7 linked regions of the Canis lupus familiaris genome follow. The main gene of each other region encodes a partner of the protein of the gene in region 4 in a complex. Links are inferred from orthologs where the notes say so. Each region holds a gene or a part of one and is shown on either strand. Other genes may lie near its edges. The genes, in order: CETN3, NUP205, NUP188, RANBP2, NUP85, XPO1 and NUP93.

What was found.
Region 1: RANBP2 (region 4) and CETN3 share a complex: the UniProt entries of both Homo sapiens proteins name them as parts of the nuclear pore complex. The link is inferred for Canis lupus familiaris from reciprocal best matches to the Homo sapiens genes RANBP2 and CETN3.
Region 2: RANBP2 (region 4) and NUP205 share a complex: the UniProt entries of both Homo sapiens proteins name them as parts of the nuclear pore complex. The link is inferred for Canis lupus familiaris from reciprocal best matches to the Homo sapiens genes RANBP2 and NUP205.
Region 3: RANBP2 (region 4) and NUP188 share a complex: the UniProt entries of both Homo sapiens proteins name them as parts of the nuclear pore complex. The link is inferred for Canis lupus familiaris from reciprocal best matches to the Homo sapiens genes RANBP2 and NUP188.
Region 5: RANBP2 (region 4) and NUP85 share a complex: the UniProt entries of both Homo sapiens proteins name them as parts of the nuclear pore complex. The link is inferred for Canis lupus familiaris from reciprocal best matches to the Homo sapiens genes RANBP2 and NUP85.
Region 6: the proteins of RANBP2 (region 4) and XPO1 are in contact, whole or in part, in a cryo-EM structure (PDB 9B62), measured with the Homo sapiens proteins. The link is inferred for Canis lupus familiaris from reciprocal best matches to the Homo sapiens genes RANBP2 and XPO1. Residues at the interface, in NP_006258.3 of Homo sapiens: Val2508, Val2509, Ser2510, Pro2511, Pro2512, Lys2513, Phe2514, Val2515, Phe2516, Gly2841, Phe2842, Gly2843, Ser2845, Thr2846, Gly2847, Leu2848, Ser2849, Phe2850, Ala2851, Leu2853, Ala2854, Asn2857, Ser2858, Gly2859, Asp2860, Phe2861, Ala2862, Phe2863, Gly2864, Ser2865; in NP_003391.1 of Homo sapiens: Trp60, Val63, Asp64, Leu83, Asn97, Gln98, Gly101, Ile102, Lys104, Tyr105, Val107, Gly108, Ile110, Ile111, Leu134, Phe149, Asp152, Ile153, Gly155, Ala156, Ser157, Arg158, Thr159, Ser160, Glu161, Leu163, Cys164, Asn167, Leu208, Phe211.
Region 7: RANBP2 (region 4) and NUP93 share a complex: the UniProt entries of both Homo sapiens proteins name them as parts of the nuclear pore complex. The link is inferred for Canis lupus familiaris from reciprocal best matches to the Homo sapiens genes RANBP2 and NUP93.

Annotation. Positions count from the first base shown.
Region 1 is NC_049224.1:18,666,156-18,669,655, reverse strand, and holds part of CETN3 (centrin-3), read right to left. Parts: intron 2,291-3,500; coding exon 2,176-2,290; intron 1-2,175. UniProt on the Homo sapiens protein: Plays a fundamental role in microtubule-organizing center structure and function. As a component of the TREX-2 complex, involved in the export of mRNAs to the cytoplasm through the nuclear pores.
Region 2 is NC_049237.1:12,272,354-12,275,847, forward strand, and holds part of NUP205 (nuclear pore complex protein Nup205), read right to left. Parts: intron 1,965-3,494; coding exon 1,798-1,964; intron 251-1,797; coding exon 127-250; intron 1-126. UniProt on the Homo sapiens protein: Plays a role in the nuclear pore complex (NPC) assembly and/or maintenance. May anchor NUP62 and other nucleoporins, but not NUP153 and TPR, to the NPC.
Region 3 is NC_049230.1:54,790,997-54,794,496, forward strand, and holds part of NUP188 (nucleoporin NUP188), read right to left. Parts: intron 2,249-3,500; coding exon 2,194-2,248; intron 503-2,193; coding exon 429-502; intron 1-428. UniProt on the Homo sapiens protein: Component of the nuclear pore complex (NPC), a complex required for the trafficking across the nuclear envelope. Required for proper protein transport into the nucleus.
Region 4 is NC_049231.1:36,161,712-36,165,211, reverse strand, and holds part of RANBP2 (E3 SUMO-protein ligase RanBP2), read left to right. Parts: coding exon 1-1,784; intron 1,785-2,388; coding exon 2,389-2,466; intron 2,467-3,500. UniProt on the Homo sapiens protein: E3 SUMO-protein ligase which facilitates SUMO1 and SUMO2 conjugation by UBE2I. Involved in transport factor (Ran-GTP, karyopherin)-mediated protein import via the F-G repeat-containing domain which acts as a docking site for substrates.
Region 5 is NC_049230.1:6,154,619-6,158,118, forward strand, and holds part of NUP85 (nuclear pore complex protein Nup85), read right to left. Parts: intron 3,078-3,500; coding exon 2,915-3,077; intron 530-2,914; coding exon 459-529; intron 1-458. UniProt on the Homo sapiens protein: Essential component of the nuclear pore complex (NPC) that seems to be required for NPC assembly and maintenance. As part of the NPC Nup107-160 subcomplex plays a role in RNA export and in tethering NUP96/Nup98 and NUP153 to the nucleus.
Region 6 is NC_049231.1:62,842,491-62,845,990, forward strand, and holds part of XPO1 (exportin-1), read right to left. Parts: intron 2,893-3,500; coding exon 2,695-2,892; intron 2,082-2,694; coding exon 1,943-2,081; intron 1,757-1,942; coding exon 1,575-1,756; intron 1,488-1,574; coding exon 1,331-1,487; intron 1,239-1,330; coding exon 1,075-1,238; intron 300-1,074; coding exon 165-299; intron 1-164. UniProt on the Homo sapiens protein: Mediates the nuclear export of cellular proteins (cargos) bearing a leucine-rich nuclear export signal (NES) and of RNAs.
Region 7 is NC_049223.1:58,752,993-58,756,492, forward strand, and holds part of NUP93 (nuclear pore complex protein Nup93), read right to left. Parts: intron 2,670-3,500; coding exon 2,530-2,669; intron 1-2,529. UniProt on the Homo sapiens protein: Plays a role in the nuclear pore complex (NPC) assembly and/or maintenance. May anchor nucleoporins, but not NUP153 and TPR, to the NPC. During renal development, regulates podocyte migration and proliferation through SMAD4 signaling.

The sequences.
Region 1 (3,500 bases), on a different chromosome or scaffold from region 4:
TTACTTGTTCCAAAGTATAAAATAGACACTCATTTGTGGTCAGTTATCATTGAAAAGTAATTAACAAATGGAGAAAATATACAGTTCTTGGCTGTTTGATTTCTAAACAGTAATAAATTTTTATTTGACTACTGGTATTTTCAATAGGTAGCCTTTAAGATAGCTAAAGTATGTGCTAAGTTGGTCAAAAGTTCTATCTTTCAAAGTCAGAGCAGATGTTTAGCCATGGTCATTTATTCTGGAAAGAACCCAGTATCAGCGGCTCCAATAATAACATAGAAAAATGAAGGGTAAGGAAAGGGTGAAGATGGCATGGGACTCTGACTTCAACTGCTAATAAAATCACATTTTAAAACTGTATTTACTTAAGATGTTATAATATGTTGCATAAAATCATTAATGACGATGATACAATGCCTAAAATAGCCTGCAACTATGAAAAAAATGTAATCAGAAAAACATGAATACAAGACTTTTTATGTTCAAGTGGATACATACACAATTATTTCCGGGTACTAAAGCAAAGTGAAACAAAGACAATTTTTTAAAGTAATAATAACAAATACTAAATAGTACTTACTATTATAGCTAGGACCCCTTCTAATAAACATTTGACATATTTTATGTATTAACTTATTTATTCCTCCCAAAAATCACAAGATACTACAACTATCCCACTATATATAGCTGCAAATGAGTCAGAGACAAGAAAAATGACCAAGTCATACAAAAACCAATATCTGAACCCAGGCAATTTGGTTCTAAAATGTCCATGATAAACCACTACATTGTATCAAATGTGCCTGAACTGTAGCTCTTTCCTAATAGTATCATTGCCACTATATCCTAATACCTGTTTCTATAAATTAACAATCTAAGTTGGAACTTGGACTAAGATCACTAACTGTAGAAGAACTTCAATAATGAAAGACTAAAAGAATAAAGATGGTTCCCTCCCCCTTCTCAAGTAAATAAGTCTACAGATTAGGAAAAACAACAACAATAACAACAATATGCTCCCCAAGAGATGAGCTGCCTTTCTAAACAGTTATTTCTTAATTTATAAAGTGGGGATATTCTGTGTTGTTCTTCCTTTCTCTTTTAGGTTTATCCTTTAATTTTCCTCTTCCTCACCTTGGTTTTGAGTTTTCAAATTAAAAAAATAAAACCAATGATTTAATGATATGAATCTATCTTTTCCAAACTCCCATTTGTTTTTGCTTTCTGTACTGCTTCATGCAGTACAATATTCATGCTGAATATTTACACAAAAGGTTTGTAACTGGATTTGTTTCTAAATTTTTAAAATATCTTAAAATAACTATATGCTTATATCATGACCCATATTAAGTATTACTGCTTTAGAAAATTAAACTCTGAATAGATGCACATTCTATGTATAATATTCTATGCAATATATTTAAATCATAATAACAAAGGCCTTGCTTTCCAGAATCTTCTATTCTAAAAAAGCTTGATATATGCTATAACTAATTCACTAAAATCAACTATATAAAAATTCAATCATATTAAGCTCATGACACATTATGCTTAGTTGGTTATTCTAAAATGTTTTCTCCTGCTTGAGTTTGCCAAATGCCTTTATTACAATCCTCTCCCCATTCTCAACTTTAAACAGATGACTTTATTCACTGAGATCAAGTCATACAGAATATGCAGCCCCTTATAAGCTTTGTCAACCTGAAGGCATGCACTTCATCTTCAGCCAAAGATACCAAATGCTATAGGTTTTCTCTTCTCCCACTCTGCCAACAAAAATCACACACCAGAATGGTCTTAGGAAATATTTTCCAAACAAAAGGATACCAAATTTTCTGTTTTAGTCTAAGAAAATAATTTTTTGATCACCTTTTTAGTTTTATCACATGATATAAACTTAGGAAGACATCATTCCACAAAAAGCTACATAATAGTTCCTTAATTAGAATCTTCAGAACAAAAGACAAAATGATAAATCCCATAGTGAAGCTGTAAATCTTATTTTTTTCTTTGAAAATAAGTAAGAAGAGTGCCCCCAAATCCCTATAATAATATCTACATTATACAGCAATGTTCAATAACAAAATTCCATAACCCAGAGAATTAAAAAAAAACTAATATTAACCAGATAATTTCCTAACAAGTGCTAATTACAAAGACTATTAAAATACACACCAACTTCATTAAAATCTTCAAAGGTGATTTTCCCTGTGGCTTCTCTGTCATAATCTTTAAGAATCTTCAGTACATCAGCTTTTTTTACATCAAACCCCAAGGCTCTCATTGCCACCTTTTGGATTAAAAGGGAAAAGCAAATTATAAAGCACTCTTTCAAAAGAAGTGACTTCCAATTCTTAAATAAGTTTTTACAACTTAAGAGATGTCAGCACATTAATAAAACATTTAAATCTTTTGCAAGTTTTATGTCTCTTAAAAAATCAAAGTGATAGCTTTTCTCCACTACTGAAATAGCAACTTTTTCATTTACATATCCTTTTTTATATGACAAACCAATCAAATGTTTATAAAATACACCATACAAGACTGACTTACTGTACAAATCATTTTAACAAATTATTTGTTCTCAAATGATTACCAAAATGAAAAAAAGTATAGCATAAATATTAAAAATGTATACAACAGAAGAGATAAAAAAATTAAAGTAAGAGTTATCATGAGACTCTACATGATTAGTTATTAAGTAAATAGTCCAGGCCCTGAGTTTAAAGAAAGAAAAGATCTTGTTACTATTAACAAAAAGGAGAGACAGGATACTGATTAAAGAAATCTTACTCGGAAAGGTTCCATTTGTTCCCTGATATATGGATGAAATAAAGTAGAAGAGCACTGAGAAAAGGATGACTGGCATTAAAACAGATACCATAATATATAGGCTTAAGGACAGTGAACAGAGCAGCTTACCATACCTGAACCGGAAGAGCTCAGGTGGAAACAAGTCCTTAGCAATGAGAAAAGTAGGTAGTAGTAAAAGTGTGGGGAGTATTCAATAAAAATAAAAGGAATCTGAACTTTATGCAGTGTACAATGAGGAGCCACTAAAGGTTTACGAACAATGAATAATAGGAGGAAAGAGTCTTAGAAAGGTGAATCTAATGGTAGTATACAGAGCAAACCAGAAATGGAGAAAACATTTAAGAAGATCCAGGTATGAAGTAAGATCCCAAACCAAGATAATAACAATGGTAACAAATGGAAGAGACAGGGCAGCCCGGGTGTCTCAGCAGTTTAGCACCATCTTCAGCCCAGGGCGTGATCCTGAGAACCTGGGATCGAGTCTCAGTCGGGCTCCCTGCATGGAGCCTGCTTCTCTCCCTGTGCCTGTCTCTCTCTCTCTGTGTCTCTCATGAAAAAATAAATAAAATTAAAAAAAAAAAAAAAAATGGAGCTACCAAAATGTCGCCTTTCTCATGCTGAGTGTGAGATCTGTACTACCCTAAACTTTAATTTTCCCTCACATCTTTATAAATAATTCTAGGCCC
Region 2 (3,494 bases), on a different chromosome or scaffold from region 4:
TCATGTCCCAATATGTCCCTTTTATACAGTTTTGCTGTGTGAGAATCAGTAAACAGTTCCCGCATTTAAAGATTTTCTTAAAGGTCACCACCACTCAAGTTCCCACTGTGACTTCATTAAGGATACAAGAACAGAGGGAAAGCAGTTTGGCTCGATTATTGATCAACTTCACCAAACGCCGTCTTGCTAGAACATATTTCTGGGCAGTAGAGATTTTCTCAACACCAACAGGCATCACAGACTGACACAACTGAGAATCAGAAACAAACGCAGGATTAGCGATTACATAAACTAACAGAAACTTCATGAAGAGAGGGTCACTTATGACAGGCCCTGCAAAAAAACAAAGAAGTTTAAACATTCCTGCAGATGAGAGTTATCATCTGGTTAGGAAGCTGGTAACTTTATAAAACCGAGAGCCAAAGTAGTGGAATTCACAAATGAAGACTCCTCTGCCGATTTCTGCAAAAGGTCTTATCTCTGTAACAGATGTTTCCAATCTGCTGAGGGGCCGACCAACCCTGAATCTCTTGTCAAACTAAAACAAAATTCAACAGTAGGTTTTTCAGGCCGTGGGTCTAACAACGCCATGGAGATTTTCTGTAACAGCTGTCATGTATCTTCTGAAGAAAATGTAAAAGCCGATTTCTACAGCATTAACTAAAATAGGCTCATCAACCAGAACCTCCTTTCATCACACCTCTGTTTGGCATAAGCACTGCGGTCCGATTCAAAATTCAGCTGCTGGGTTGGACAGAAGGCAAACTGAAGTGGGGCTGGGAGGGCACCGCACACTTGCCAGGAAGGCTGCCGTTTCTCTGGCGAGTGCTGGTGTCACCCGTAAGCTACGCGTGTTGGGGAAGGGCTGCCAGATGTAAAGCCCCCCACTTCAGGGATTACTAGAACCTCATCAGTAACTCCCGCCTCAGGACCTGCTAGCTGTGTGGCTTTGGGTAAATTATTCAAACTTCCAGGGCCTCCACTTCCTCATCTGAGAAAATAGGAGTGGCTACACTATCTGCCTCATGTATTGCAACAGAACTTGTCTGGCACATCAGAAACACCCACCAACTGCTCCCTATGATTGCTGGAAGCAGGCAAGAGGGAGGAGGTTTTGACTACTCTGAAGAGTAATGCGGAGCTTTTCAGGACAGTTGGTGCAAAGGAGGAATGGCAAAATGGCTCCACATCTAGGCTGCCACGGGCCACCAGGGAGCTTCAGCACCGGCCAGGGTATGCCTTGTGTCATTCAGCTGTGCCGGATGGGAGAGAAAGTGGCTACTTAGGATGTAAGCCTAGCGACTCAGTATCTTTAGCTACAATATCGGTGAATGATTCTGGGTCACTGAGGGCAGGCAGTCAAGTCTTATATGCTATCCCATTTGTCTGAAAAATTCTCTAAACAGATACTGAAGATGCTGAAGACACAGAGACCTCTTACTTAAGGGATCACTTCTACTGAATAAGCATCTGCAACAGAAACCCAGGTTTCTCAGCACAGATTTCAGAGTATGAATTACCAAAACTCTACTTCAAAAGCCAGCTGCCGTTCTACTGAAGGGTAGCAGGTGGTGTTCCTGAACAGATGCACTTCACCATCTTCCATTCAAGTGTTGCCCTGATTACCAGGTGTGGTGCTACGGGGAGGACTCTTCTTCAAACCACACAGAGGCATCATTTCAAGCCCTTTTATCACTGCATACATCATCTTTACACACAAGTCGGACACCAATATTTTGGTCATTAGGAAAAGCAAGGATTCTCCAAAATCTCCATGGCTCATTATAAGATTCATACCTCTTTTATCTCATCTGGTGGAAGCTGCTCTACATTCTGTAGCTTGTTGACACTCCGTCGGTGACTGTCATAATAGCTGAAGAAATCATTAGCGCTCTGTTTCAGCAGGTAGACAATAATGCCCAAACCTGGCAGGCGCCAATATGGAATCACTGGAGCTTGGGTATCTAATAGAGTTGATAATAAAAACAGAATGTTCCACTTACAAGAATATTAAATGAATTTCAAATGACCTGTTTTAAAACAAGGGATGCCCAGAACTGAAGGGCATGTAAACTATTATTAAAACCAACCCACAACTACTTTTAAATACTTCTGACAGTTCAGAGGAGTGGTGAAGTGCCATGGTGATCTGGGACTCAAATCTAGGCAGTTCATCATCAGTCTCTGTTCTTAACTGCTAGCTTAAACTGCTTCTCTACAAATGAATATTCCTGAATCTACCACAAACCCACCCCCTCCTGTGTCTACGACTGGCAAAGGTTAAGTTTGCTGATTAAATCTTTAAAGAGTCTAAGGAAGAATAAAGACCAATATATATTAGGCTTCATAAAGTTCATCAAGTATTAAAGATCGGAGAATGGCCTAGTATGTGAAAGACAGGCTCAAAGTGAAAAGAAAGCAAGTGAAATTTTAATTGTTAGTGATGATTATTAATGTTTTTGAAGAATAAATGACAAAACTATAATTTCATTTGAAAATGTTATGATCAGGCTCAACTTAACTTGTTTTAAAATGTTAGATTCGGGGCAGCCCCAGTGGCTCAGCGCTTTAGCGCTGCCTTCAGCCCAGGGCATGATCCTGGAGACCCGGGATCAACTCCCATATCAGGCTCCTGGCATGGAGCCTGCTTCTCCCTCTGCCTGTGTCTCTGCCTCTCTCTCTCTGTCTCTCATGAATAAATAAATAAAATCTTAAAAAAAAAAAAAAAAAGATTCAAGGGGGAAGAACGGAGCCCCTTGGACACTTTATAATGGAGTTGCACAGAGTTGTTAGTTCCTGGCACCATTTACATGAAACAGTGGTTAGATACTGTTAAACTAATATACTTTAATAACACCATCCTACTAAATCTTTTATGTGATTAAGCAATTTTCAGGGAAAATAAGATCTTGAAGATGAAAATGTGACAAAATGATTTGCAGAAAAATCACAGAGCAAGCACCACTAACATCCGAATAGACTGTCTTCTGAGGGTCCCATGGGATAACAGCTTTCATCAACCCACAACCCTCACATTCCAGATCTCACCTACTGGGTCCTTAGGAAATCACAGACTATGTCAGTTTACTTAGCATCCACACTTTACTTTGCTGTGATACAGAAATTTGGAGCTATACTACGAGACCCAATTCAGACACTACCTTCAGCTTAACATGATCTTACGCATAAACCGTCTGTTATGTTTGTACATTTTTCACCCAGCTAGTTTACTTGCCCATCTTAGATACTTTCTTTGGGGTCTCAAATACTATTCAAACCCAAAGCTCTTTGAAATTTATCCTTAGAAAATCTTGAATTTCTCTGTCCTCTTGAGCTCTCTAACCTATCCACAGGACTGACACCAGTACCTCCTTACTGATCTTTCTTAAAGTCATTGACAAATTTTCCCACTAATTACACATAAAGAAAAGAGCTGCATTTCACTGGAGCCATCTAGAGCTTATTTTAATCACAGCAACTTAATCCTCAATTAC
Region 3 (3,500 bases), on a different chromosome or scaffold from region 4:
CTTAGTGGGCTTTTATGAGGCCTATGATACTCAGAATAGTAACTGATACACAGTAAACACTCTGTAAGTGGTCAGCTACTCTTATCACTGCTCACTGCCCTAGCCTAGCACCTGGTGCCAACAGCACTGTACACAAACACAGTGGACCAAAATAAACACTAGAACTATTAATTGAAAAGTTAATGACTCCCCCTCCCCAAATACTAGAGTTATATAACTAGATTCAACAACACTATATTTCTAAAAGGAATTTCCCTTCCTTTCAACAGACAGAAAAAATGTGCCCAACTCTCTTCCACTGGTAACCAAACTGTATTCTCTATAATCTACCTGACCCAGCAGTATCACAAAATCATACACAACAACAGTTTCACTACCCCAGCTTCCTCAGGGGAATTACTCTAACCAGACGCATGGAATAGCCATACCTGGGTGGTTTATAGTAGGACAGCCCTTCTAAGAGCCGCTGCCAATGTTTATTCAGTTCTGCCTCGATCTGATTCTGGAAAAGAACAAAGAAATTATATAAGGGTTTACATAATCCTAAGTCTTTTTTAATATGCTTTTCCCCACAGCTGAAATCATTTTGAAAAGAGAATTCTCAGGGCACCTGAGTGGCTCAGTTGGTTGAGCATCTGACTTTGGCTCAGGTCATATCTCAGGATCCTGGGGTCAAGCCCCACGTCGGGCTCCCTGCTCAGTGGGGAGTCTGCTTCTCCCTCACACTTCTCCCCTCATCCCGTTCATGCTCTCTCTAATAAATAAATAAAATCTTAAAAAAAAAAAAGAATTCTGTAGCCTCTTTTCCTTCCTTAACATTCTAACGATGATTTAACCTGATTATGAAAATCTTGATAAATACTCTTTCTAGTGGTTGCATAATATTTTATCAAGTGGCTGGATAATAATTTATTTACCATACCTCTATTGTTAGATAAACTTAAGCGGTGACTCCTTATTAATATAAATAACACTATGTAAGGGCACCTGGGTGGTTCCATCAGTTGGGTGTCTGCCTTCGGCTCAGGTCATGATCCCAGGGTTCTGGGATGGAGCCCCATATAGGGCTCCCTGCTCAACAGGGAGCCTGCTTCTCCCTCTGCCCCTCCCCCTGCTCATGCTTTCTCTTTCTCTCAAATAAATAAAAAATAAATTTTAAAAATACTATGGTAAAGAGCTTTGTGCACAAAACTTTTTCAGGATTTCTTTCTTGTAAGACATATTCCTAGAAGTAGAGTTATCAGACGAAAGCATATAAAAGATGTGAAGACTTTATAGTGGATCTTGGATAGGTCAGATGGTAGAGCATGAGACTCTTGATTTCAAGGTCATGAGTTCAAGCCCCATGTAGCCTACTGGCCATGTAGCCTACCTAAAAAAAAAAAAAAAAAAAAAAGGCTCTAGGGATGCCTGAGTGGCTTTTTTTTTTTTTTAAAGATTTTATTTATTTATTCATGAGAGACACAGAGAGAGAGAGAGGCACAGACACAGGCAGAGAGAGAAGCAGGCTCCATGCAGGTAGCCCAACGTGGGACTCAGTCCCAGGTCTCCAGGATCATGCCCTGGGCTGCAGGCAGACGCTAAACCGCTGAGCCACCGGGGCTGCCCATAAATAAAATCTTAAAAAAAAAAAAATTAAAGCTCTGAAAAAAGGTATAACATTATGTTAATTACCATAATAATAATAGCAATAATTGAACATCATCTTAACACTTTACCCTCACAGGGTCGGTTAAAACACTAAGGATCAACATTATGAACTGTCCTTTACTATACTTGGAAATGTCCTAGAAAGCACAGCCTCTGTGACCTAAGGAGCTAGCAACATGTTAAAAAAAAGAAAAGGCAAGTAAAGTCCAAGACAGAGAAAAGGCCTGAGCATTTTCCTTAGCCTGAGGGAGCAAAATGGTATTTGTCCCTCAACCCTGAGCAGCTAGTTGAACAGCACTGGTATCTTTTCAGATAAGGAATCACCAAAGAACAAAGAGAAGTGGTTTAGAAACCTTAGCAGCTGGGCTAGAAGATACAACATGGTTCAGCACAGAGAAACAGGGAATACATCATGTTTATAAAGTTTTAGGAATAAAAAAATGCATTTACTTCTTCCATCAAAGACAAGGCAGTTTTGGGAGCTTATTGTAACACAAGCTACATAAAAACTACAGAATCCACTCAAGAACACCACCCACTTACCAGTTCTCTCAGAGCTGACCTTCCAAGCAGAATTGTCCATAGTTCCCGGCTGCTCCTGAAAAATAATGGGAATTTTGCACTTTCAGATTATACAAATTTGACCAAGCTGTCTCGCAGTATTTCATCTATTCTCTGAAACCAGGAAACTCAATGTACAAAACAATTTATTAAAACTCTGGACATTAATCCCATTACATTGTTCTTAAAAGTTTGATGTTCAAAATAAAAATTAAGAAGCTGACACATAACCTAAACCAAGCAGATGTGTTAAAAATGAGGATTGCGGGCAGCCCCAGTGGCGCAGTGGTTTAGCACCGCCTGCAGCCCAGGGCGTGATCCTGGAGACCCTGGATCGAGTCCCATGTCAGGCTCTCTGCATGGTGCCTGCTTCTCTCTCTGCCTGTGTCTCTGCCTCTCTCTCTGTCTCTATGAATAAATAAAGTCTTTAAAAAAAAAAAAGAGGATTGCCACCATACTTTAATGCATTTAAGATACAATTAATTGCAGGATACATGATTATTTATGTTCTACCAGCCATCGATAATAAAATACATAGCAGTATAAAGAAATGTATATTTGAGAATTAATGAACTACAATAATTAGTGAATTATCTTACATCTTCTATGCTAAGAAGCCACCTCAGGGTAGTATTTCTATCTCCTCCCTTCTCATTAAAATGTAGTGACCAAAAAGGAGAATACAGAAAAGGACTATGTATATTTCAAGCCCCCTCATCAACTCCAGAAATTTTATCTTTCTTTTTTTTTTTTTTTTTTGTTTTGTTTTAAGATTTTATTTGACAGAGAGATAACACACAAGCTAGGGGAGCTGCAGAGGGAAGAGAAGCAGACTCCCCACTAAGCAGGGAGCCCATTGTGGGGCTCGATTCCAGGACCCTGAGATCATGACCTGGGCCGAAGGCACTTAACCCACTGAGCCACTCAAGTGCCCCAATTTTCTTTTTTTTAAGATTTACTTAAGTAATCTCTCTACCCAACACGGGGCTCAAACTCATGACCCCAAGACCAAGAGTCAAACACTCTACTGACTGAGCTAGCCAGGTACCTTCAGAAAATTTTCTAAATGCAATATTCGTTCACTTATTAATTAGCACTAGGTACCACATACAGTGCAAGACACTATATTAAAAACAACACATTATTGTCACTATTCCTGGTAAACTCTTTAAATATACCCTTCACCATGTGCTTACCCAAGTTCCTTCCCTCATCCATGCCTTTGGAACTTCAGGAAACACCTTATGGGGTTTTCTAAAGTCTAGAACTAAATTTCAAAATGTAACCAC
Region 4 (3,500 bases):
AAAAGTGGAACTTGTAACAGGAGAAGAAGATGAAAAAGTTCTTTATTCACAGCGGGTAAAATTATTTAGATTTGATGCTGAGATAAGTCAGTGGAAAGAAAGGGGCCTGGGAAACTTAAAAATTCTCAAGAATGAAGTAAATGGCAAACTGCGAATGCTAATGCGAAGAGAACAGGTACTAAAAGTGTGTGCTAATCATTGGATAACAACTACCATGAACCTGAAGCCTCTCTCTGGCTCTGACAGAGCATGGATGTGGTTAGCGAGTGATTTTTCTGATGGTGATGCCAAACTAGAGCAGTTGGCAGCAAAATTTAAAACACCAGAGCTGGCTGAAGAATTCAAACAGAAATTTGAGGAATGCCAGAGACTTCTATTAGATATACCACTTCAGACTCCTCATAAACTTGTAGATACTGGCAGAGCTGCCAAGTTAATCCAGAGAGCAGAAGAAATGAAGAGTGGATTAAAAGATTTCAAAACGTTTTTGACAAATGATCAAACAAAAGTCACTGATGGAGAGAGTGAGAGCTCTGATGCAGGTTCTGCCAATGCCTCCGATACAATCAGCAAGCCAAATCCCGAAAACACAGGGCCCACACTGGAGTGGGACAACTATGATTTAAGGGAAGATGCTTTGGATGATAGTGTGAGTAGTAGCTCAGTGCATGCTTCTCCATTGGCAAGTAGCCCCGTGAGGAAAAATCTCTTCCGCTTTGGTGAGTCAACAACAGGATTTAACTTTAGTTTTAAATCTGCTTTGAGTCCATCTAAGTCTCCTGCCAAGTTAAATCAGAGTGGTACCTCAGTTGGCACTGATGAAGAATCTGATGTTACTCAAGAAGAAGAGAGAGATGGACAGTATTTTGAACCTGTTGTACCTTTGCCTGATCTAGTGGAAGTGTCCAGTGGTGAGGAAAATGAACAAGTTGTTTTTAGTCACAGAGCAAAACTCTATAGGTATGATAAAGATGTTGGTCAGTGGAAAGAAAGAGGCATTGGTGATATAAAGATTTTACAGAATTATGATAACAAGCAAGTTCGCATCGTGATGAGAAGGGACCAGGTGTTAAAACTTTGTGCCAATCACAGAATAACTCCAGACATGACTTTGCAAAATATGAAAGGGACAGAACGAGTGTGGGTGTGGACTGCCTGTGATTTTGCAGATGGGGAAAGAAAAGTAGAACATTTAGCTGTCCGCTTTAAACTACAGGATGTTGCAGACTCATTTAAGAAAATATTTGATGAAGCAAAAATAGCACAAGAAAAAGATTCTTTGATAACACCTCATGTTTCTCGTTCAACCACTCCCAGAGAGTCTCCATGTGGCAAAATTGCTGTAGCTGTATTAGAAGAAACCACAAGAGAGCGGACAGATTTAACTCAGGATGATAACACAGCAGACGCAACTTCAGAAGTTGGAGAAGTATCTAGCACATCTGAAGCAACAACAAAAGCAGTGGTTTCTCCTCCGAAGTTTGTATTTGGTTCAGAGTCTGTTAAAAGTATTTTCAGTAGTGAAAAATCAAAACCATTTGCGTTTGGTCACAGTTCAGCCACTGGGTCTTTGTTTGGATTTAGTTTTAATGCACCTTTGAAAAATAACAGCAGTGAAGTCAGTTCAGTGGTCAAGAGTGGGTCTGAAAGAAGAGTGGAACCTAATGGTGAAGAGTCGAAGAATTCAGATAGCAAACAGTCTTCAGACGGCAAAGTCAGAAATCTCTTTGCTTTTCCAAAGGAGGAGTCCTCAACTAATTACACATTTAAAACACCAGAAAAGGGTAAGCACTTAGTCTTTAATGTGAGCAAATTTTTCTTCCATTGATTTGTAACTATTTTGCTTAACGCATATACTCTTTGTAGAGTACTAATGTTTTAGTAAAAGTTGGGTCATAAACACAGTGCTTCATGAACAGTGAAAATACTGGTATAGATTTTTTTTTTCTCCCTAAATGTGTTTCCCTGTGACTGTTTAAATAGCAACAAAGAGTGGGTGTGTGTAGGTCATTTAGGAGATCTGAGTAACTGGAAGATATTTATATCATGTTTAGTGCAGAGAGCAAGAACCTAATATAGTACCAAAGTTTAGTGACTCGTACTTAAATCACAAACATTAACTCAAGTCTCATTTTTTTTAAGTGTTCATTCTTCAATGTAGTATTCTCTTGTCACTCAAAAAACGTGGTACTGAGATGTACATATAATATATATAAGGTAGTCTTACCACTATTTATTAAATGATCAAAGAATGAAACTACCAGGATAAATGAATATGTGAGACAGCCAAATTGGTATAAATTGAGGGTCTCTGGCTTTTTGTATTTTAAAATCACATTCACTTTGATTCTCAAAATGTTCAAAAACAAAATACTCTTTATTTTCTAGGATTTAATTTTAGCCTTTTTAAATCTAATCCAATGGCTTTTTGGACCAGCATCCCTTCCTCACAGCCTGAAAACAAAGGTATAGAGCTAGTATTCTCAGTATGAGATGACTTTTTTTTTTTTTTTAAAGGAGCTGGTAGTCCTTTGCAAAATAACTGGCTGTATGAAATTAAGGACTTAACACTACAATGTGCATGTTAAAAGAATGTCTGTTTAAACAAGTACTTTTTGACTGGTGGTGTATGATACCCTTTAATACTGTTTTTGTTTTTTTAATGTACTCAGATATCATGTTTTCTCACTCCTGTACAACAATATTTTGAGATAGATCCATGTGGTCTTTACCTTTTGCTGCTTTGTACTTTGTTACTGTATTATTTTCGACTCTGCTTAATGAAGACCTGTGTTTTTCTAACATTTATCTTTAGCCAAAGGTAATGTTTGTGAGCATGTATACACATGGAACAGTTTCCCTTTTAGTTATCCTTTTGGACAGGGTTTAGAAAAATAATATTTGAAAGTAGACCCCGTTTTTAATAGCGACCATTATATACCTGGTATGTTACAAAAGTCAATGTTGGTATTAGAGAGGAATAATAGGAAGTGGGGGGGGGGGTCTATTGAAGACCTTCAGGAGCAAGGGTAGGGAAATGTAAACTGTTTATTAGTATCTAATAACATATCTTGAGCAGCCCAACTATGTTCAGTGATAAAATGACAATCCTTGATTTTGGGGCCCATCATTTTTAAAGTATACCAATCATAATACTAGCTAACACAGCTCTTAACCTTCATTCTTAAGAATGTATTCCTTGAGAAATTATGTGAAAGTGTGGACTTCTTCCTGTAAATGACATATACTTGCATGCATACTATGGGACCCTGGGTTAAGAATCCCTGGCCCAGGCACCTGGGTGGCTCAGTTGGTTAAGCGTCTGCCTTCAGCTCAGGTCATGTTCCTAGGGTCCTGGGATCCAGCCTTGCGTTGGCTCCCTGCTCAGCAGAGAGCCTGCTTCTTCCTCTCTGCTGCTCCTCCTGCTTCTGCTCTCTCTCTCTCTTTCTCTGTCAAATAAATACAATCCTAAAAAAAAAATGTATCCCTGGCCTAAGAGC
Region 5 (3,500 bases), on a different chromosome or scaffold from region 4:
CAGGGAGCCCGACATGGGACTTGATCCCTGGTCTCCAGGGTCAGGCCCTGGGCTGAAGGTGGCGCTAAACTACTGAGCCACCCGGGCTGCTCGACTCAGTATGTTCTAACTTGAAAAATGTGCTTATTAAGAGGGCTGTCTGAGTGGCTCAGTGGGTTGAGCATCTGCCCTTGTCTCAGGTCATCTCACGGTCCTGGGATTGAGTCCCACATCGAGCTCCCTGCTTAGCAGGGAGCCTGCTTCTCTCTCTGCCTCTACCCCTCATGTTCTCATGCTCTCTCTCTCAAATAAATAAATAAAATATTTTTTTAAAATGTACTTAAGATAACTGCCAAAAAATTATGGATTATATAGGAAAGTTAAGAGTTTTAAACTGTGAAGTCAAATACATTTTCTCTTGCGGTATTTATAACCAAACATTTCAATTACTCTCACATGTACACACATAAAATCCTTACTTGCAACCTGGTGCATTTCCTCCATACATGCTCTTATGACTGAGCGGTAGTTCTTACTCACTCGAACCAATCTACAAAAAAGGAAATGACACACAAGATGAGCCTGGAGCATCTTGTGGTGACAAAAAGGAAGGAAGTTCTCAATAGAAGATAGGAGCTTGCTCAAAGACAGGAACCAACCTGAAGGAGTTTCTAACAGCCAAAGTTTTAACAACTTGAGCATCAAAATGAGTAACACATGAGACAACCCATACAATAAAATAAATATCCATGAATTCATATTAATTGTTGGGGGAATCCCTGGGTGGCTCAGAGGTTTGGCACCTGCCTTCAGCCCAGAGTGTGGTCTGGAGACCCAGGATCAAGTCCCACATGGGGCTCCCCACAGGGAGCCTGCTTCTCCCTCTGCCTGTGTCTCTGCCTCTCTCTTGGTGTCTCTCATGAATAAATAAAATCTTTAAAAAAAAAAAAAAAGATGATATCCACTGATGGACACTAGTGAAACTAGTGGTTCAAATAAAATTTTTTTTTTTATTTTTTTTTCTCTGTCTCTCAGAGAGAGAGAGAGAGAGAAAGAGAGAGAGGCAGAGACACAGGCAGAGGGAGAAGCAGACTCCATGCAGGGAGACCGACGTGGGACTCGATCCCGGGTCTCCAGGATCACACCCTGAGCTGAAGGTGGCGCTAAACCACAGAGCCACCGGGGCTGCCCATGGAGAAATACAATTTGCATAATCTCAAAATTTCTTCTCCAAATACTTACTAGTCACAAAGGGAAGGATGGTAACTTCATAGTGGAGAAACCAAGTAGAAACCACTGAAGTAATCAAGGTCCACAAAACCAGTATAAGACATCAACATCATGAATCCCATGACATGATGTACTGAAGACACATACCAGTTCTGTGGTATTCTTACTAAAAATGCACCACCTTTGTCCAATCATGAGAAAACACTGGAGAAACCCAAATGGAGGGACAGTCACCAAAATAACTGGTTGATATTTTTCAAAAGTGTCAAGGTCATGAAAGAGACTAAGGGATAAAAACCAAATGCAACCTGAGATGCAGAAAAGAAAAAAGGGCATTTGTGAAATAACTGGTGAAATTCAAATGAAGGAGCACCTGGGTGGCTCAGTGGTTGAGTGTCTGCCTTGGCTCAGGTCATGATCCCGGGGTCCTAAGATCAAGTCCTGCATCAGGCTCCCCATAGGAAGCCTGCTTCTCCCTCTGCCTATGTTTCTGCCTTTCTATCTCATGAATAAATAAAATCTTAAAAAAAAAAAAAAAAAAAAAGGAAATCCAAATGAAGTCTTTAATCACTTTACACTGATGTGTAATTTTCCTAGTTCAAGTAACAATAATATGGCTATGTAGATATTAACGTTAGAAAACTGGGTGAGAGGGATCCCTGGGTGGCGCAGCGGTCTGGCGCCTGTCTTTGGCCCGGGGCGTGATCCTGGAGACCCGGGATCGAATCCCACGTCGGGCTCCCGGTGCATGGAGCCTGCTTCTCCCTCTGCCTGTGTCTCTGCGCCTCTCTCTCTCTCTGTGACTATCATAAATAAATAAAAATTAAAAAAAAAAAAAATTAGAAAACTGGGTGAGAGATGCACAGGAATCTATTATTTTTGTTACCTTTTCTGTAAGTCCAAAATTAGTTCAAAATAAGGTCTTTAAAAAAGAAAATGAGGGACGCCTGGGTGGCTCAGCAGTTGGGCGCCTGCCTTTGGCTCAGGTCGTGATCCTGGGATCCAGGATCAAGTCCCACATCGGGCTCCCTGCGAGGAGCCTGCTTCTCCCTCTGCCTATTCTCTGCCTCTGTCTCTCTCTGTGACTATCATAAATAAATAAAATTTAAAAAAAAAAAAAAAGGAAAAAGAAAATGACAAAACTAAAACATTCACAAGAAAGCAACTGGTTTAGTTATCAAGATGTAATCTTTAGGGATGCCTGGGTGGCTCAGCAGTTGGGTATCTGCCTTCAGCTCAGGGCGTGATCCCAGGGTCTGGGATCAAGTCCCACTCTTGCGGGGAGCCTGCTTCTCCCTCTGCCTGTGTCTCGAATGAATGAATGAATTAATTAATTAATTGATTAATTAAAAAATAAAAAAGCTCCAGGGGCACCTGGGTGGCTCAGGTGGCTAAGCGGCTACCTTCAACACAGGTCAGGGTCCCAGGGTCTTGAAATCGAGCCCTGCCACATTGCCTTGGGCTCCCTGCTCAAGGGAGAGCGCTTTTCCCTTCCCTTCTGCACCCTCTCCCCACCGTGTACTTGCTCTTTCTAGAAAGAAAGAAAGAAAGAAAGAAAGAAAGAAAGAAAGAAAGAAAGAAAGAAAGAAAGAAAAGAAAGAAAAGAAAGAAAAGAAAGAAAGAAAAGAAAGAAAGAAGACAACACATTTCATTTGGCTTTCACAATTTAGTTTTGGACTTCAACACCCATTAGCAGCCTACTTACTGTGCTTTTCTGGATTTTCCAGTCAATTCTTCTTCAATTCTCTGGAGGCCCACAAAGATTCCATGGGATTCATTGAAGAGTTTTCTCAAGATCTGAGAGTAAACATCTATATCCTTTCGAATGATATAGATAAAGGGGCAGCCTGGTTCGGTCTCTGATTTTTCTGAAACAGGAAAATTTTAGTATCAATCATTATAACCCTCATACAAAAACTCACTTTAAATTTTAAAATGAGTTATCTAATTACAAAAGCTTCAGCTTCTTTGCTGTTGATTTCATTTTTAAAGTATAAATTGGGGTGTCTGGGTAGATCAGTCAGTTAAGCAATTAACTCTTGACTTTGGCTCAGGTCATGATCTGAGGGTTGTGAGACTGAGCCCTACATTGGCCTCTATGCTGAGTATGGAGCCTAAGATTCTCTTCCTTCTCCCTCTGTTCCCCACGCCCCACTCACACTCCCGCCTCTATCCCCCAAAAAAGTATGATTATCATTTATCAATTATTTACATGTAAATTGCTTAAATATGAATGTTTACTCTCAGACTTTTACTCCTCAACTCACTGGCTTATGTATTTTACTGTTGTT
Region 6 (3,500 bases), about 27 Mb from region 4:
AACACAGAAATCTTTATTACCTGTAGCTACAACTATGAATAGATTAACATTCCCAATATACCATCAAATCAGAAAAAAATGACAGTATAGTTTTTGTTACTTTTGAAAATAACACGATCTTCTTGAATTCCATTTGAACTTTGATAAAAAGGAGTAGAACTTACTTTGGTTGCCTGCTGGATTATGCTATCCCAAACCTGATTAGGGAGTAGCATGTATTTTTCTATCAAATGTTCTTGTACTGTTTGGTCTGTTTGTGCACCAATCATGTACCCCACAGCTTCATAAAATGTATGGACCTATGTAAAATGGCAGACATTTTATGTTTATGCATCATAAGGATAACCACAAACAACCAACTTACATATGTATTAGACCTTCTTTTTTGAGTCTGAGAAACAACTTACATTAGGTAAGAAAATAGCCTAATAAACTTCTGGCTAAATTTTTGTCCTACAATGAAAACTTAATGACTCCAGCAGAGATGTGGGTTGGGGAGATAGGTGATATAGGTGATAGGGAGTAAGTAGTGCACTGGGTAATACATGGAATTGCTGAATCACTATATTGTACACACATAACTAATATAATACTGTATGTTAACTATACTGGAATTTAAAAAAATTTAACCATAGATGTATGTTGAATGAATCCAATGGTGTTACTCTATTGCCATTTATGAATTCTGAGTAAAATACTAGTCATGAGGTGCCTGGGTGGCACAGTCAGTTAAGCATTCAACACTTGGGTTTTGGCTTGGGTCATGGTCTCATGGTCCTGAGATTGAGCCCTCCCACCCACCATGTACTCTTACTCTAATAAACAGACCTTTAAATAAGAAAAAAAAAAATAGTAGTCATTTTCTTTTCTTTGGGTGGAGACTGGGTCAAGGGGGGAAGAGAATCTTAAGCAGGTTCCCCACCCCTGTGAAGCCTGATCTCATAACCCTTGAGACCATGACCTGGGCCAAAATGAAGTGTTGGATGCTCAACCAACTGAGCCACCCACATGGGCACCGTAGTATTCATTGTCTATGAATATGCATACTACTACGATGCTCAGTGCTCTACGTACCTGCTGAGGTTGAAGATCACAAATTATAGTGTTGATATTGTTCAAAATTTCATCAATAAATGGCATTACTTCTCCAACCTGAACCTGAACAAAATGCCTGCGGCATTTCTGAGCTATTTTAATAAAAGTATCACAAGCCATGTCTTGGACTCCATCATGGGTCTCTAACAAAACAAAAATATTATCAAAAAATTTCAAGAAAATTTGGGGTTTCTTTTGTTCAATAAATACAAATAGCTGAATAATAAGGATTTACCATGCATGAATTCAAACAACTTGTTAACTACAGTCTTCAAAAACTTCCAGTGAGCTCTTAAAAATCTTGGATATTGACCTACTATGTACATGATATTTGATGCAATAATAGCTTTATTATCTTTGCCTCTTTTCTGTTCACATAATCCTAAAAGATCCTGTAAAATGAGAGCAATTTCAGTCATTTATAATAATACAATTTAGTTACCCAAGAGCTCAGTTCACATGTAGTATCCCTTGCATACCTTTATAACAGTAACAAGAAAGCGTTTTTCATCCTCTTCATGCATTGCTCCACTAATGGAGCCTATTGCCCAACACAATGTATTCAAATTTTTCCATGACCACTCTGTACCATTCACTTGATTGTGAAGCTTCTCAGTCATTATTCTTTCTGTATCTACATAATCCAGATGAGTAAGATAAACTACAAAAGAAGGGAAAAGGTTCCAAAAGTTCAAATTCTAAACTATGAACAAAAAACATTTAATAAGAAATAGCACAGCAATAAAAGTGATTATTAACAGATTCAGAAAAGTACGCGCCATTTCTTAGTTATTTCCACCCCAGAAGAGAATTAAAAAGATCAAACCGGCAGGATTTCTTGACTCACCTAATGTTTCTCTCATATTCTTATACAAATTAATGGAATCTGTATCCTTCATGAATTCTCTGACAACTTCTCCTTGATCATTTTCTACAACCAATACTTCTTCAGGTTTAGCCATACGACTAACCATCAATAAACGGACCTGCTCAACCAAACAAGAAAAATCTATTACATCTTTGAAATAAGCACTTCACACTTTAGACCAACATACCCCCAAAACTGTTCCCACAATACAGAACAGAAACATTACGAAATGTAATTTGAGGGGCACCTGGATGGCTCACTCTGTTACATGTCTGCCTTTAGTGCAGGTCATGATCTAGGTGTCCTGGATCAAGCTCCAAATCGGGCTCTCTATTCAGCGGGGAGTCTGTTCCCTCTCTCTCAAATAATAAAATCTTAAAAAATGTAATTCTACAACAATGATTTCCATGCATTGTTTATCACGAATAAAACATAAAGTATTAACTTTCCTGTTGAGAGTGATTCATTACGCCGGTCGGTGATCTTTTAATTTGCATTTCTAATAAACTCACTGGAATGCAATCTGCTTCTACGAAAACACTATGGTTCTTAAAACAATCCTTCTCAATTTTCTAGCTTTGAAAACATGGTCAAGTTGTTGGATGCTCTTTTTCTACCTTTTATTTAGATTATAAAAGTCAAAATAAAATAAAACCCACTATTTCAGTAAGTCTTCAAAATTACAGCAAGAAATAGATAGGAGTAGCATTTACCACCCACTTTATTGTTACCTTGGATAACACGGGCAAATATAGCTGCCTCCTGGGAGGAACATCAAAATGTTGACTTCCGGATAGCAATGGAGAAGCAGATGTAGAGAACGGGCTCTCTCTATAAAGTTCAGCTGCCAAGTGATTCCAGTACTCAAGACAAATCTTGAAGATTTCAGTTTCCTCCACTTCTGATACCAACAACATATAATGAAGGGCCTACAAAGAACACCGAAAATATTAAAAATAATTCCTTACATTATTTTTTTCCTTACATTATTTTTTCCCACAAATTGCCTGCCATTTGTTATGTTAATAAACATAAAAATAAAATTCATATTTCATTTTGCACAATTCTGAGGTTTCATTATTCATCTAATAGACTAGAAATTCTCTAGGAGCAAGTTGTACTTTCTTCAAACATGTTCTACAACACTTCGAAAATTTTGTATATTTTTTGGTCAATACACATGTTAAAAGTTCCCTAAAAACGTATGGATATTAAGGGACATTTGATACAAATACTCAAAAGGTTTAAACAATCTATATGTCTATTGATTCATGAATGGGTATACAAACTAGGATACAATACAATGTATTGTTCTGTTATTCAGCTATAAAAAAGAAATACTGGTACATGCTGTAACACAAATGAACCCTGAAAATACACTAGGTGAAAAACACTAATTACAATACACCATATACTAGGAGTTCACTTACATTAAAGGTTCAGAATAGATAAATCCATAGGGAACAAATTAGTGGTTGCTAGAGGCAGGAGAAGACCAGAACGAAGGACCTATATATTTCAATGGGTACATCACCCT
Region 7 (3,500 bases), on a different chromosome or scaffold from region 4:
ATAACTTTCTAAATATGTTTCTTATCCAAAGCAAAACAGGATGACTCAAAAAAGTCAGGTGCCCCATATGCACAAAGATAGTCGACACCAGATTAAATAAAATAACAGAATGAGAGAGTGTGAGAGAGAAAGAAACATCTAAAAGTCAATTACAAAAAAATAGACTCAATGGAATGTTACATAAATGATACTGACAAAGAATTTAAAAAGCAAACTACAAAAACCACGTACTGTACACATTTGGATCATAACTGTAAAAAACAAAAAAATATTCATATATCAAAAACAGGGGAAAAGGAAATTGAAAAGGTACAGGAGCCTCTGGATGTGGTACAGGAGACCTCTTCCCTTTTTGTCAGGTCTTTTGGCATTTCCCCCACATTTCTATAATGAGCATGTAGTATTTTTGTAGTGAAAAATAAACAAAATTCAATTAACAAATATAGTAAGTCCCCCATCAGTGAGAGTATTTAAAAGCAGAGGTTGGAAAAGAGATTAGAGAACTGAGTCCCATAGCAGCCAGGACAAACATGCCCACTACAGTCTCTTTCAGCTTGAATTAAGACAACTCGTGTGCTCAGGCCTAAATTGAAGAAGCAGCTGGAATCCCTTCAGGACTTAAAAAATATGTATCCTGTTTTGAATCTGAAATGTAGCAGGGAACAGATCAACCAACCCTGTATTTTCAGCTTTATATGCAAAAAGCATTTACGTCTCTGTTTACTCTACTATGTTGTCTATGGATCTGCATCGGCAAAAATACTTTAAGAGTGAGTACAATTGGGGTGTTGGGTGACTCAGTCAGTTAAGCATCTGACTCTTGGTTTTGGCTTAGGTCATGATCTCAGGGTTGTGGGATCAAGCTCTGCATCAGGCTCCACACTCTGCACTGAGTGTGAAGCCTGCTTGGGACTCTCTCTCCTTCTCCCTCTGACCCCATTCCCCCGCCAACAATCTCTTCTTAAAAAAAAAAAAGAAAAAAGAAAAAAGGTGAGTATAATTATCCTGAAATAATCCCTTCATCAAAAGATGACAATTCTTAAAAAGCATGCCACCAGGGAGTGACACCACTAGAATGAAAGGACAATAAAGTTACAATAAATATGGACAGGAAACTCCCAAGTAGCTCTAAGTGCTGCCAAAGGAATTAAGGGGGAAAATTTTTTTTAAGACAAATAAATAAGTGAAATGAAAAGAATAATAAAAGACATGGAATGGCTTACCAGATATAAAACTAAGGAATGCTTAGTACCACTGGTGAAGTCAAGCACCAATGTTAAAGAGTAGGTTTACTAAAGAAAAAACAGTCATGAGCAGTCATACTTAAAGGTTTTTATATATTGTAAAAAAATTTTGACTCTTTTGCTGCGTGTAGCAATACTACAATATACGTTAGGATCTTTATGGCTGCAGATCAATATACCCAAAACTTAACATTACAAAAATTTAGCAAAAGTCTAATAAAATATTTTATGAACTTTTTTGTGCCTATGCAAAAAAAGAATAAAGACAAAAAAAATTTGGAGTTCTAGATTTTTCTTAACCAGGGAATGTAGGCTAGTGAGATTATGTCTGATGGTGTTCATCTCATGTATAATGATTGTATAATTATTACAGTATTCAGTATAAAAGTACCTATTCTCTGAGGTACAGAGTCTAAATTACCTCAGTTAATTCACAAGGAAATCTTATGAATTTTCTAACTTTCTAACACAGTATTATTATGTTGATAAAGGGCAACCACACTACATGGGCACTAGCAGCCACATGGGCTCATTGGAAAGAGGTGTAATTGAACAAGTGTATTCAACTCTGCTTTCTCTTTTCCACCTAGCAGACGGGAGCCCAGCACCCTGCCTCTGAAATAAAGAGTCTGTTGAACATTTGGGACAACTCCTGCTGGCAAATTCAGAGCTAGAAGGAATGTCTACAGGGAGGAATGAATGGCACAGGTCCTACCAACGAAGGGGACAATAGTTAGGACACAAGGGCACAACAACCCCCTCAGTGACCGAACTCCAGTTAGGGAGGAGGTGGCAAAGCCTCCCAGCACCAACTACAGGCATTAGCAGCTGGGAAGGATCCAGACACATAGGGATTAATGGAATAGAGCCAGAAGGAAAATAAAGGGTCAAGGACTCTTCCTAAGGCTTGAAAATGGTAATATTGCCAGATGTAAAGATTAAAATGCTGAAAGAAGACAAAGCCTAAGGACTCATGCCTAAACCTCACTAGGAAACCGGATCGTGACCTAAGGCAATGGCCTAATAATTATGATGTCTCCATACTAAGGGACAGAGAGAGGAGAAAGAGAAAATGAAAAGTCTAACAGTGCTCCCACTTGCCATGATTTTTTATTGTTGCAGAAACAGTCCTAGTAAAGAAATGTTTCTGAAAACAGGATGGGATCTCTCAGCCTTACTCAACCCTGTACTATGGAGCACTTAGACACAGAACTACTGAACACTTGAGAAACAGCTGACTTCTAGGGATTCTGAAGCCAGCCCCACTGTGCCAGGGCTGCCTTACCTCTGCTCGAGGTATGCCAAGGCCTGCCTGACAAACTCCATGCGCACTTCCACGCTGCTGCGGCTCTTCAGGGCATCAGTCGCTGGTACCAACAACACATCTGTCATTTGTTTTACCATGGTCCACATGTCAGAGATGTTCTGCACATAAATGAGACTGTGCGTGACAATGCTGCAGGGCTAGAGAAATGGTCTGGCTCTTCGTAGCTCTGATCTCAAAGGCAGAGAAGGTAAGGTAGAGGAAGAAGTTTAATGTCTTCTGTCTAAGGCCTTCAGGCTTAAGCTCAGTACAGAAGATGCACCTCTGCCCTGCCAGTTGCTGATGAGCACCCTCCTGCCCCAAGCTGGTTTTCAGATCAATTACTGTTCCAGGTCTGACATAACCACCCACATAATTAAGACCACAGAATAGTAAAAGAAACACTGAATCTCAGTGGGTTATCCCTTATGAGAAAGTGAATACATTTATAATTGTCCAAAGCTCTAGGAGTTTAAACTCAAGTAGCTGCATTTCAATCCTTACAAGGTCATGTGAGTTTCTTAAGGCTTAAAATAAAGAGTTTAACCTAAATAATAAAGGTTTTGTCCTCCCAAAGATTCTCCAAGGGCCACTGCTCTTACCCCATTTTGTGAGTGTCGCAACCTCCCATTTTCCTTCCCACTCATTCCCTTTAAAAGACGCCTCCATGACAGCCTCCCAGGAAAAGAACAGGCATTCTCTCCTTCGTGTTACCACCACACAGATGGGACTCACTCTCCCCAGAATCCTTCTAGCTGTAAATCTCCCCCTTAAAAATGGATCCCCTGAACACTTTGCAATATTCTAAAGTTAAGAATCCTTGGGAGATAGCACTGATTGGAGAAAAGCAGGTTTACTTTTTCCAAAGGAAGAGAGAAAATCCTGTTCTCACCGTCTCCCTCAGAAATTAAAACTGTAGAAAATCCCCAAATGTGACTCTTTCTAAGTGGTGA